Linked DNA regions of Drosophila melanogaster. The protein of the gene in region 1 purifies or fractionates together with the protein of each later gene. This does not show direct contact. Each region holds a gene or a part of one and is shown in the gene's direction. Other genes may lie near its edges.

Evidence for each region.
Region 2: the proteins of CG8117 (region 1) and Polr2B purify together in Drosophila melanogaster (affinity purification with mass spectrometry, with the first as the bait; one large-scale study listed by BioGRID). This does not show direct contact.
Region 3: the proteins of CG8117 (region 1) and CG14715 purify together in Drosophila melanogaster (affinity purification with mass spectrometry, with the first as the bait; one large-scale study listed by BioGRID). This does not show direct contact.

Annotation. Positions count from the first base shown.
Region 1 is NC_004354.4:15,642,679-15,645,497, forward strand, and holds CG8117 (uncharacterized protein), read left to right. Parts: upstream 1-1,543; 5' UTR 1,544-1,612; coding exon 1,613-2,101; 3' UTR 2,102-2,313; downstream 2,314-2,819.
Region 2 is NT_033777.3:14,124,051-14,130,618, forward strand, and holds Polr2B (RNA polymerase II subunit B), read left to right. Parts: upstream 1-1,740; 5' UTR 1,741-1,896; coding exon 1,897-1,918; intron 1,919-2,045; coding exon 2,046-4,214; intron 4,215-4,289; coding exon 4,290-5,224; intron 5,225-5,283; coding exon 5,284-5,688; 3' UTR 5,689-6,061; downstream 6,062-6,568. Other genes in the region: twf (twinfilin), read left to right, coding at 1-137; 140up (upstream of RpII140), read right to left, coding at 455-812, 875-963, 1,025-1,190, 1,254-1,426. UniProt on the Drosophila melanogaster protein: DNA-dependent RNA polymerase catalyzes the transcription of DNA into RNA using the four ribonucleoside triphosphates as substrates. Second largest component of RNA polymerase II which synthesizes mRNA precursors and many functional non-coding RNAs.
Region 3 is NT_033777.3:11,672,305-11,675,431, forward strand, and holds CG14715 (uncharacterized protein), read left to right. Parts: upstream 1-1,916; 5' UTR 1,917-1,977; coding exon 1,978-2,124; intron 2,125-2,187; coding exon 2,188-2,457; 3' UTR 2,458-2,619; downstream 2,620-3,127. Other genes in the region: CG42327 (uncharacterized protein), read left to right, coding at 273-820, 924-1,158; CG18476 (uncharacterized protein), read right to left, coding at 2,651-3,127.

The DNA of each region.
Region 1 (2,819 bases):
GCCATCGATTCAACCATCCAGCCAGGCAGCCAGCCAACCAACCAACAATTGGACTTTAGAAAACTTGGAAAATGCAAATTGATCGAGGTAAATTAGTGGAAAATTGCTGCGTACTGGAATTTAACTATTTAAGTGGGACATTTTAAGTTTTATTCACACATAATTGATGATTCTGCAGGAGTTATTAGTAAATCCTCATCGATCTTCATGTAATCATTCAAATGTTTTGTAATATATTATACATAAACCACATTGTCCAAACTTTATTTACTTATATTTGTGTTTTTTAAGATTTTTCTTCAATTTGATTTAAGATTTTGCAAGAATGTTATCCAAAAGCTAATGTATTTTGAACAGTAGTTTGAAACAGGAACATATTTGAGATATTTTCTTAAATTTTCTTTGGTTGCCCCTCATGTTGGCCACACACTTTCTTTTTATTTTCGCCAATCTGGAGAAATTGATTGGCCACAAAGGTTCAAGGTTTTACCCATTGTTCTGGGGCTTGTTTACCAAGCCAAATACGTTGTTGGCCGAAAGGTGAAAGACAAAAGGCCGCCAAGGTCAGTAATCGGCCGTGAACCAATTCCCCAGACCATTGATAGATAGATACATTTGTATCTTTATATTTGGGTAGCTTCGAATCGATGGCGGCTGTTTACGTTACGCTGAGGTCGTCAAGTTTAACAGTTGAAGGTCGGCGGAGGCGTTTAAAAACGCTAGAAAAACGCGCACGCACAGTGGGACGAAAGCGAAGCCAAGTGGGACGTTGGCAAGCGGGGGTGTGGCTGGGTGGTGGGTGTTTTAGATGTTTGTGTGGTTAAGTACATTAGCAGATTTATATCCGGCAACAATAAAAAGAACGATTCGCTAAAAAGCTAATGACTTGGATAATGATTTCGATTTTGTTTTCAATTTCGCTCGCTTGGGCTTTTTTCCTACTTTTTGTGGCTACCCCCCCCCCCCCCCCTTCGTCACTGTTGTTTGGCTTTTCAATATTTCAATTTTCCATTTCCCATTTTCCTTTTTTTTTTTATTACTCATTTTCCTTTTGTTTTTGGTGCTTCTGCGGGATTCGTGCGTCAATAATTAGATCATCTCCGCGCTGTTTGTTGTAGACGATTAGCGAAATCAAAAGCCAGCGGCGCACAAAGAAAGCGGAACGACAAACACAAACATATAGACTAAATGGGAAATATCATTTCCATTTCGATTTTGATTTTCATTTGTGTTTGGTTTTCCTTTCAGTGTCCAATTTTAGCACATTTCTTGGGGGCCACAGCGGGCGTTATGGAATAGTGATGCATTACGCAGGGGATTCCCAAATCGAACATTTATACATATGTAGATTTATCTATTCAAATTCATACTAATTACATGCTAATCACAACGGTTAAGAAATGATTAAGTAGAAATATTGCATAATAAATCCGAAATATTTAGACCTTAATCAAGTTGGGTTGTAAAGTTGCCGAGTAAAAACCTTCATTTACCTTGCCGTTCCTGTCAGCTTAGACATCTCTCAGTGACCTCTCAACTTCTCACAATCTAAAAATTGTGCTTTCCGGTTTCGTTGAATAAATTCACTAAACTTTCTTTCGATTTTGCAGCCATGTCCATGGAAATACGCATCAAGTGCCGCGAGATGTTGGCAACCGCATTGAAATCGGGCAACATGCCACCAGGATGTGGCGATCCGGATGACATGGCCGCTAAACTGGAGGACGCAATTTACGGCGACTTGAACGGCTGCAAGGTGAAGTACAAAAATCGCATACGTTCGCGTTTGGCCAACTTGCGCGATCCGAAGAATCCAGAGCTGCGCCAGAAGTTCCTATTAGGTCAAATAACGCCCGAAGAGTTATCCAAGATGACGCCCGAGGAGATGGCCAGCGATGATATGAAGCAGATGCGCCAGAAGTACGTTCAGGACTCGATCAATGCGGCACAGATGGCCAAGGTTCAGGGCACCAAGACGGATCAGTTCAAATGCGAACGCTGCGACAAACGCAACTGCAGCCAATTGCATATCCGTGATGGTGACGAGCCCATTATCACCTTTGTGATATGCGACGAGTGCGGCAACCGCTGGAAGAGCTAGACAACCGTGGAGAGAGTCCCTTGAAGGAGTCACCCGTCTTGGCTGGATACCAAGCAAACGAACTCACACAATTCACAATATCTCATATCAATAAACAGACTGATCTTCCGTTGGCTTCCACAATATGTAAATAATACTTTAACAAGAATACATACAACATACAACATACAACATACATATTATGGAAATATATTACATGTCATAAAAATCTTATTCATTCGTTTTAAATACCAGAGGGTATCAATGAGTCCATCATCGATGGATGCTCCTTTGTTCGCCTGCGAAAGCAGATAAACTAGCACCGAAAGTCCGAAAGAAAGCAAATCTTTGTTTCATAAACATTCAACAATATACGAGTTTGCTTGTATAAAAAACGAGCATAGCGCGAGCGTTAATTTAATGAATTTTTCGACTATTAGTTAGCACTTTACACTTTAATGAATCATTCGGCGCGATGATCTCGGAGTGGGTGGGATCGGATGGGATTGAATTGGATTGAATTGAATTGGATGAGATGGTATATATAGTATAGTATACTATGTTTAGTATGCGTGGGTCGTTTCCAAGTGCAGACAAATTATAGACGTTAAAGCATTTGCTTTATGGCCCACATTAACGGCATTGAATGGGATTATGGGTTTGGGATTCAGGTTTGGACTGCGAACTGGGATGATAGGTGGACTCTTGATGGGCACAATGGGAATTGCTCCCCAGAGAC
Region 2 (6,568 bases), on another chromosome or scaffold:
GCAGCGAGCTGACCGAAGCCTTCTTGCAGGACGAGCTGCACCCAAAGAAGATTCTACACCGACCGGCTTTTGCCAAGCCCAAGGGGCCACCAAACCGAGGCGCCAAGCGCCTCACGCGTCCCACCGCAGAGGACTAAGTCTGAATCCCGATCCCACCGAGTCAATTCTGTTTATCGCCCTTCTACGTACTGTTTCCTAGCAGAGCATTTAATTTATTGTATCCAATCGTTTATTTCTTTTGTGTTGTGTCTATCCCGTGTCTATATGTGTCCGTACGTCAGTCGATATCTTTAGAGGCACTAGGCATCAACTGAAACATCGCATAGCAGCCGCCAAAGTGGGCTTCCTTAAATGTATTCTTGTCTATGTAACTTTAGATGGACATATATGCAATTTATTTAAATTAAAAAAAGTAACTAAGTTCACACTGGCGTCTTCTTTAAGTCCTCAGGACTCACTTGATCGTGTCCAGCGATACATGTTCGGATGTTTTCTCGTCGTGGGCCTTGAAAAGCTCTGGGTTTTCGTCCTCTGTCAGTTTTTTGAACGCCTGTTGAATGTTTTCGTCGCGATCGAGTCGCCATTTGTACTGCCAGTAGCGAACCTCTTCCATCGAGGTCCCTGATGCTTTCATCAGCAGCAGCGACGTCACACCAGCCACGCCGCCCAAGAAACCTCCAATGATTCCACCTGCCGCCATGCCCCGCAGACCAAGACTCACTTTGTAAAGCGAGCCGGTGATGGAACCAGCGGCCAAGTATTCGTAGATTGAGGATTTTCCACGGTACACCGACATACAAGTGATGATGCCGCTGTAAGGAACACATTTTTGTATCACACAGATACAGATTTGAATTCGTGTTGCTGAACTTACAAGTAGGATGTGGTAAAAAGTCCCACTCGCCAGCCCCATTTGAAGCCGCCTTTGGCAAAGTTGACTGTGAATTGATCTTGCAGCTTTTTCTGTAATTATGATTAAAAACTTGATTATAACATATTTAAATGATAATACGTAGATACCTACCTTGGCATCAAAGTGCGATTTAAATGCTGTGGCCTGGTTGTTCTCCATGAAATTCATGTAGGCCACGCGCGATTGTGTAACTCCGCCGTAAATAGCTCCAATAAGGAATCCTAGGAAGCCGGCCTGGTAAACCGAGTTAAGCTCGGAGGATATGCTGCCAAACTCGCTATTTAAATGTTTATGTACGGTCAGTAGATTTTAGTATAAATGGAATTCTTAGTTTTCCTACTCGATTGTAAACATTTGCTTGAGGCGCTCCAGTCCTGTTTCCTCTGGTGGTTTACTGGCCAGAAAGGCCTTGTATGTTTTGTTTTCCTTATCGACTATTTCATCTGCGGCGCCTTCGAATGTTGGCAGGATGCCTGCGATCAGAAACCGGCGTCCTTTCCACAGAAAATTCATTTTTTAAGCGTGTTAAATAACCAAGTAAAACGAGTACAACAATCTCAGCTGTTTGCCGGTCTGTTAGTGTTGGAAAGTGTGCGTGTCATTGGTGTTGGCAAACTCTCGGTTTAATTGTTTTTAATTTAAATGCGTTTGTTATTAATAAAATTATATTATTATAATAATTTAAGTTACATACTCATTTAGTTGTTCATATATTTTTTTCTTATATCATTCACACTTTTAAATTTATTTTGTTGCCAAAAACAATTTTATTGTGTTTACAAGTATTTGCTATAACTTTATGAACTGCACCTTGTGCTTTGCTTTTGCCGTTTACCAACACAGCACAACGCCGCTAATCGCGTTGTCGGCAAACATTTGTTGTGAAATTTTCTACGTTTTTACAATTTAATTCATTGCAAATCCAATTTATTGTTATTTACTTGAACGCATAAAGTGCTTCTGCACTTTAGAAAACTGAAATCATGATGTACGACAACGAGGAAGGTGAGTAAAATGAATTGCGAAAATTTGTGCATGCACGTTGGCGTGTACCAAAATTAATATGGCGGCTGGAGCGCTAGGGCTCCGCATTGTTAGCAATGAATTTCAATGGTCAAATAACATCTTGCAGAACTGTACGAGGAGGAGAATGCCGAGGAGATCTCTCACGAGCTGTGGCAGGAAGCCTGCTGGATCGTGATTAACGCGTACTTCGACGAGAAGGGCTTGGTGCGGCAGCAGCTGGACAGTTTCGATGAGTTCATTCAGATGTCGGTGCAGCGCATTGTGGAGGATTCCCCCGCCATTGAGTTGCAGGCGGAAGCGCAGCACACATCCGGAGAGGTGGAAACCCCGCCCAGATTCTCGCTGAAATTCGAGCAAATCTATCTTTCCAAGCCAACACATTGGGAAAAGGATGGTTCGCCCAGTCCTATGATGCCGAACGAGGCCCGCCTGCGAAATCTAACTTACTCCGCTCCTCTCTACGTGGACATTACGAAAACCAAGAATGTCGAGGGCCTGGATCCCGTGGAAACGCAGCATCAAAAGACTTTCATAGGCAAGATTCCCATCATGTTGAGATCAACGTACTGTTTGCTATCACAGCTTACTGATCGTGATCTTACGGAGCTGAACGAGTGCCCGTTGGATCCCGGTGGCTACTTCATCATCAACGGCTCCGAGAAGGTGCTAATTGCCCAAGAGAAAATGGCCACCAACACAGTGTACGTGTTCAGCATGAAAGATGGCAAGTATGCCTTTAAGACTGAGATTCGGTCGTGTTTGGAGCACAGTTCCAGACCCACGTCTACACTGTGGGTAAACATGATGGCAAGAGGATCGCAAAACATAAAAAAGTCAGCCATTGGTCAGAGGATTATTGCCATCTTACCGTACATCAAACAGGAGATACCCATTATGATTGTGTTTCGAGCATTGGGCTTCGTGGCCGATCGCGATATTCTGGAGCATATCATCTATGACTTCGACGATCCCGAGATGATGGAAATGGTGAAACCTTCTCTGGACGAGGCTTTTGTAGTCCAAGAGCAGAATGTTGCCTTGAATTTCATTGGAGCTAGAGGAGCACGTCCCGGAGTCACAAAAGACAAGCGTATAAAGTACGCTAAGGAAATTTTGCAAAAGGAAATGCTGCCCCACGTTGGAGTATCCGATTTCTGCGAGACCAAGAAGGCATACTTTTTGGGCTACATGGTTCACCGGCTGCTCTTAGCCTCTTTGGGCAGGAGAGAACTCGATGATCGAGATCACTATGGAAACAAGCGACTTGATCTCGCTGGACCCCTCCTGGCCTTCCTCTTCCGTGGTCTGTTCAAAAACCTGATGAAAGAGGTGCGCATGTACACACAGAAGTTCATCGATCGCGGAAAGGACTTCAACCTTGAACTGGCCATCAAGACTAATATTATTACTGATGGTTTAAGGTATTCCTTGGCCACTGGCAATTGGGGCGACCAGAAGAAGGCGCATCAGGCGAGAGCCGGTGTCTCCCAGGTGTTGAATCGCTTGACCTTCGCCTCTACTCTTTCCCATTTGCGGCGTGTGAATTCGCCAATTGGCAGAGACGGTAAACTGGCCAAACCTCGTCAGTTGCACAATACTCTTTGGGGTATGTTGTGTCCCGCTGAAACTCCTGAGGGAGCAGCTGTTGGTCTGGTGAAGAACCTGGCGCTCATGGCTTACATTTCTGTGGGATCACAACCTTCTCCCATTCTGGAGTTCTTGGAGGAGTGGTCTATGGAAAACCTGGAGGAAATTGCTCCTTCTGCCATCGCTGATGCTACAAAGATCTTTGTGAACGGCTGCTGGGTGGGCATACATCGTGATCCTGAGCAGCTCATGGCAACGCTTCGTAAGTTGCGTCGCCAGATGGATATCATCGTGTCAGAGGTGTCTATGATTCGAGACATTCGAGATCGTGAGATCCGAATCTATACAGATGCTGGTCGCATTTGTCGGCCACTTCTCATCGTGGAAAACGGATCGCTGCTGCTTAAAAAGACTCACGTGGAGATGTTAAAGGAGCGAGACTACAACAACTACAGTTGGCAGGTCCTTGTAGCCTCTGGAGTGGTGGAGTACATTGATACCCTTGAGGAGGAAACGGTCATGATCGCTATGTCTCCCTACGATCTGAAGCAGGACAAGGATTATGCTTATTGTACCACATACACACATTGTGAGATCCATCCAGCCATGATCCTGGGCGTGTGCGCGTCCATTATTCCCTTCCCCGATCACAATCAGAGTCCGCGTAACACCTATCAAAGCGCTATGGGTAAGTTTATGAGTATTCATTACTGTTCTACTTGAAATACTAATCCATTTATAACGTTTTTTTCATCTTTTATAGGTAAGCAAGCTATGGGCGTTTATATTACCAACTTCCACGTGCGTATGGACACACTAGCCCACGTACTTTACTATCCGATGAAGCCACTTGTGACCACACGTTCCATGGAGTACCTGCGTTTCCGAGAACTACCAGCTGGCATCAATTCAATCGTGGCTATTCTCTGCTACACTGGCTACAACCAGGAGGATTCTGTCATTCTGAATGCATCCGCTGTGGAGCGTGGATTCTTCCGCTCTGTGTTCTACCGATCATACAAGGATTCGGAGAACAAACGTGTCGGTGATCAGGAAGAGAACTTCGAGAAGCCTCATCGCGGCACCTGCCAAGGAATGAGAAATGCTCACTACGACAAGTTAGACGATGATGGAATTATTGCCCCAGGAATTCGTGTATCTGGCGACGATGTGGTTATTGGCAAGACCATTACCCTTCCTGAAAACGACGACGAACTGGACAGCAACACGAAGCGTTTCTCCAAACGAGATGCCTCCACTTTCCTGCGAAACTCTGAGACGGGTATTGTGGACCAGGTGATGCTTACGCTCAACAGCGAGGGCTACAAGTTCTGCAAGATTCGAGTGCGCTCGGTGCGTATTCCGCAGATCGGCGATAAGTTCGCTTCTCGTCACGGACAAAAGGGAACGTGCGGCATCCAGTACCGTCAGGAGGACATGGCCTTCACATGCGAGGGATTGGCACCCGATATCATTATTAACCCCCACGCTATCCCATCTCGTATGACAATTGGTCACTTGATCGAGTGTCTGCAGGGAAAACTGGGATCCAACAAGGGAGAGATCGGTGATGCTACACCCTTCAACGATGCCGTCAACGTGCAAAAGATCTCCACCTTCCTTCAGGAGTACGGCTATCATCTTCGAGGCAATGAGGTCATGTACAATGGCCACACTGGACGAAAGATTAATGCTCAGGTAAATTGCTTAACTTTCAACTTGCAATAATCTTAAACTAATCAGTCCCTTAACTACAGGTCTTCCTGGGGCCCACCTACTATCAGCGTCTTAAGCACATGGTGGACGACAAGATTCACTCTCGTGCTCGAGGCCCCGTCCAGATCCTGGTGCGTCAGCCTATGGAAGGTCGTGCTCGTGATGGTGGCTTGCGTTTCGGTGAGATGGAGCGTGATTGCCAGATCTCCCACGGCGCCGCTCAGTTCCTGCGAGAACGTTTATTCGAGGTCTCCGATCCGTACCGCGTACACATCTGCAACTTCTGTGGCCTGATTGCCATCGCCAATCTGCGCAACAATACGTTCGAGTGCAAGGGCTGCAAGAACAAGACGCAGATTTCCCAGGTGCGACTCCCATATGCGGCCAAGCTTCTCTTCCAGGAGCTGATGTCAATGAACATTGCGCCGCGCCTGATGGTCACCTAATCAGATCGGTATCCGCAACCGGACCACATAATAGCCCTAAGCTAAATGCTAGCAGTTAATTATTAAATTACCATAATTGTGACAACTCAATTATGTGCTTTGTGTGGCATTTTCTATTATTCCCGGAACTGGAGCGAATACCTGCCGAGCATTTTTAAAGACGCGAACGTGCCACAAGCGTATTTTGGGCGAAAGTCTGCACGGGTTCAAGAGCTGTTAGTGGAATGTGATTTATTTGCTTATTTGTAATAAGTTATTTTGCTCACAAACTTTTCTTGAGAGGGCAAATAGGGCATTGAAAGGTTTTGGTATTATTTGTGATTAAATTTTTGTTGGCAATTTAGTTGTCAATCCCTGTACGTTTTAGGACATCAAATAATCTGCGTTCTGACTCTTTATTTGCTCCAATTTTTCTTTGGTAATCCCCTAACAAAGTCCATTATCCAGCAAAATACCTTCGCCCTAAGCGTATCCTAAATTCGGTTTTTTACATAGAAAGCCTTTCCATTCGCATTTATTTTTTTGCCAAGCTTTTGTTGCCTTCTTTGATTTTGACGTAATGCTTTGGCCCGCGGTCTGTGACGCCCAGTGACAAAAGGGATTAGTTCTTTGTTGTCGGATGTGGATTGTGTGCGGTGGAGAAGGTGGTGGAGCTGTAGCCACAGCCGCCAATCGACTGACAGTTATTAATTGCCACTTGACGTGGCTCCGACGGAACGAGCAGCATCGGCCCAACCGAACTCGTGTCGCTGCCAATGCTGATACCAATGTTGGGGCTGATGGCCAAGACCATGCTGACACCCATCAGTCAGCCCGCCTGAGCCCGGCTTATGAGTAATTGAAATTGCGTGTAAATCCGCGAACGCGAAGTGGCGCCGCG
Region 3 (3,127 bases), on another chromosome or scaffold:
CGATAACCTAAGCATGTCGAGATTCAAGCAGCAGAGGTCTGTTGTGCGATTTTATGGTATCGTTTATCTGAGAGGCGCGCGTAGCTGATCGCCAGTCATTGTGTGGGCAGGGGTAGAGTTAAGCCGCAATCGGTTTTAATTGATGGTTATGTCATTACTCAACCTCGCGTCGTCTTTTTGCCGAAAAACGCTAGATAGCTTCAAATTCAAATAATACTAGTATGCTATCCAATGGAAAGACATCATTTTGATACCTTTTTTAATCACTTCAGGGCCCGAGGGATGCACCCAACTACTACATAGCCTGCCAGGCGCCGCTGGAGAGCACGACCAGCGATTTCTGGCGCATGATCTGGGAACAGCAGTCGCGGGTGATCATCCAGGCGACGGATCTCAGTGAGAACGGAATTGAGAGGTGCGCCGAGTACCTGCCACCGTCGGCGACTCTGGACAATCATAGCAGCTATGGCGATTACCAGGTGACCCTCAAGCATCGCGAAGTCAAGGATCGCTATGCCATTTCCACATTGGTTCTGAAGCGAGTGGATGGCGAGGAGAGCCGTGAGCTCACCCACTACTGGTACAAATGGCCTGAGGCGGGTGTACCGGCCGAGGAGGCGCCCATCATCGCCATGCTGCTGGAAGCGCGATCCTCGCTGAAGTCCTACTCCCTTGAGCAGGCCAACGAGCTGCGCGAGAAGTCCGCGACCCTGGAGACGTCAATGGATGCGGACGGCAGCAAAGCCGAGGCGGGCAGCACGTCCAGCCACGAGATTAATGGAAACATCTCAAGTCGAAGCGGAACACGAAGTCAGCAGGGGTAGGTTGACATAATCTCCATCCATTCATATCAAAGCAGTTGTTGTGTGTTGCATGGCTTTTTAATGTTCTGTGTCTTAACTTCTTCATCTCTCCCCCTGCAGACCGCTAACCGTTCACTGTTCTCCAGGCACGGGACGAACCGGTACCATTATAGCGTCGGACATGGCCATCCGCAGTCTGGAAACACCGAAGCGGTCCGTGGACATCCCCCAACTGGTTTACTACGTGCGACGCGGACGTGCCAGCGCCGTACAGACCAAGGAGCAGTATGAATTTATCTACAAGGTGGCCAGCATGTATGCGGCCAAGATCACAAATCTGTCCAATGACAACTGAAAGCCAGATGGCAGTGTTAGCGGCAGAGCCCATCGAGTGGAAACCGAATTTGCGATTGAGTTCACCTTTCACCCTTACAGCACTGATCAATGGGACCCTTTGTAATAATAGTAGCTATGTTTTATACGAAATATTAGTGTAAATTAGTATTATGCTTGAATGTTGGCACCTAATTAAGCGTAGGCTTCGTTGTATGTCGGGCTTTAAATATCATTTAAATTGTATGTATTCCTTTATTATTGTGATATAATCGTACATTCGTATATCTCCTGATAATCTGTTGCATATTTATAATGTCAATTTTTGTTTTTGCACTGTCACGCGCTTCGGGGCCATATAATCCGGAGCAAATGATCATTATTTGGAGCTCTCCTTGTTTTAAGAAAGTCAAATATGTAATCAAACAATGTGTGTATCTATTTTAAATGAGCTTTAATGTACGTAAGTTATTTTTAAGTCCGAGCTGTACTATACTCATATTATTGTAAATTACAAGAAAAAATATGTCCAGCAGTGGTTTTTGAAGTTTTAAATTTCGCGGGCTTCGCATTTAAGTGAGACCTTTTTTGATTGGGTTTTAACTATGAACCGATACTACTGCACTTCTGATCTTTCTCTTATTTACATAAAATTTCTTTTGGTTACTAATTTTTTCAAAGTTAAAAAAAAAAAACAAGTTTTAATCTCTTAATTTCGTTGAAAACTATTTGAGTTGTTATATTTATTTGGTTTTATGTGTGCAGTGGGAACAAGTTAAATTATTGTAGATCTCTGGTCACACTAAACCGCGAGTGTTTTTTGATACTGGCTTTCGATAAGATGAAGTTAACTTATATTTTGTTAATCTGCGCTTTTGTGGCCGCCTCCGCTGCCAGCGATCCGAAAGTGAAGATTGGCATTAAGAAGCGGGTGGAGAACTGCACCCGGAAGGCCAAGGGCGGCGATCTCGTCCACGTGCACTACAGAGTAAGGGAAATCAGATAAGGAAGATCTCTAGCCGACCTAACCCCGAATTTGGAATCATTCTAGGGAGCACTGCAGGATGGAACAGAGTTCGATAGCAGCTACTCCCGCGGCACTCCCTTCTCCTTTACCCTGGGAGCTCGGCAGGTGATCAAGGGCTGGGATCAGGGAATCCTTGGTATGTGTGAGGGTGAGCAGCGAAAGCTGACGATTCCGCCTGAGCTGGGATACGGAGCCAGTGGAGCGGGTGGCGGAAAGATTCCCCCCAATGCGGTGCTCGTCTTCGATACGGAGTTGGTAAAAATCGAACCGCGCTCTGGATCTGAAGAGCTGTAAAGCGAATAGGGCCACAAATAGGCATTCCATGCTACACCCAAAGTTTACTTTCAACTAAAGTCATAAACATTTAATGCTCAAATATTTAAAGTAGTAATTTGTCTTGTTTCTGAAGTGATGCCACGCCACGACCAATAAATAATAATGTCATTCCTTTTATACTAGACCAAATTGTATTTATTGCAAGAGCCCCTTACTTTTGGCGTCTCAGCCACGCTTCCACCTCGTCGAAGTGACGCCGCATCAACCGATGCTTCTCCAGCGTGCTGCTCTGGATGAAGCGCTCGCCACAGGTGCCGCACACGAAAGGACATTCGCCGGTGTGCTGCTGGAGATGAAGCTTCAGGTCCTTGGCCTGACGGTAACTCTTCTCGCAGTAGGTGCATTTGTGCGGCTTTAGGCCGCTGTGCGTAAGCATATGGCGCTTGAGCTTATCGGAGCGGGCAAAGTCCTTGCCACAGACGGTGCAGTGGAATGGCTTCTCGCCGGTGTGCATCCGGCGGTGCGAGGCCAGCTCTGAGTGGCGGGGAAAGGCCATTTCGCACAGATCGCACTTGAAGGGCTTCTCGCCAGTGTGGCGTCGCATATGGGTCACAAGAGCGGCGGCTGATCTCGTCTCCATTCCGCACAGGGAGCAGAGGAAGCGCTTAATTGCCTCCTTGCGCTTGCG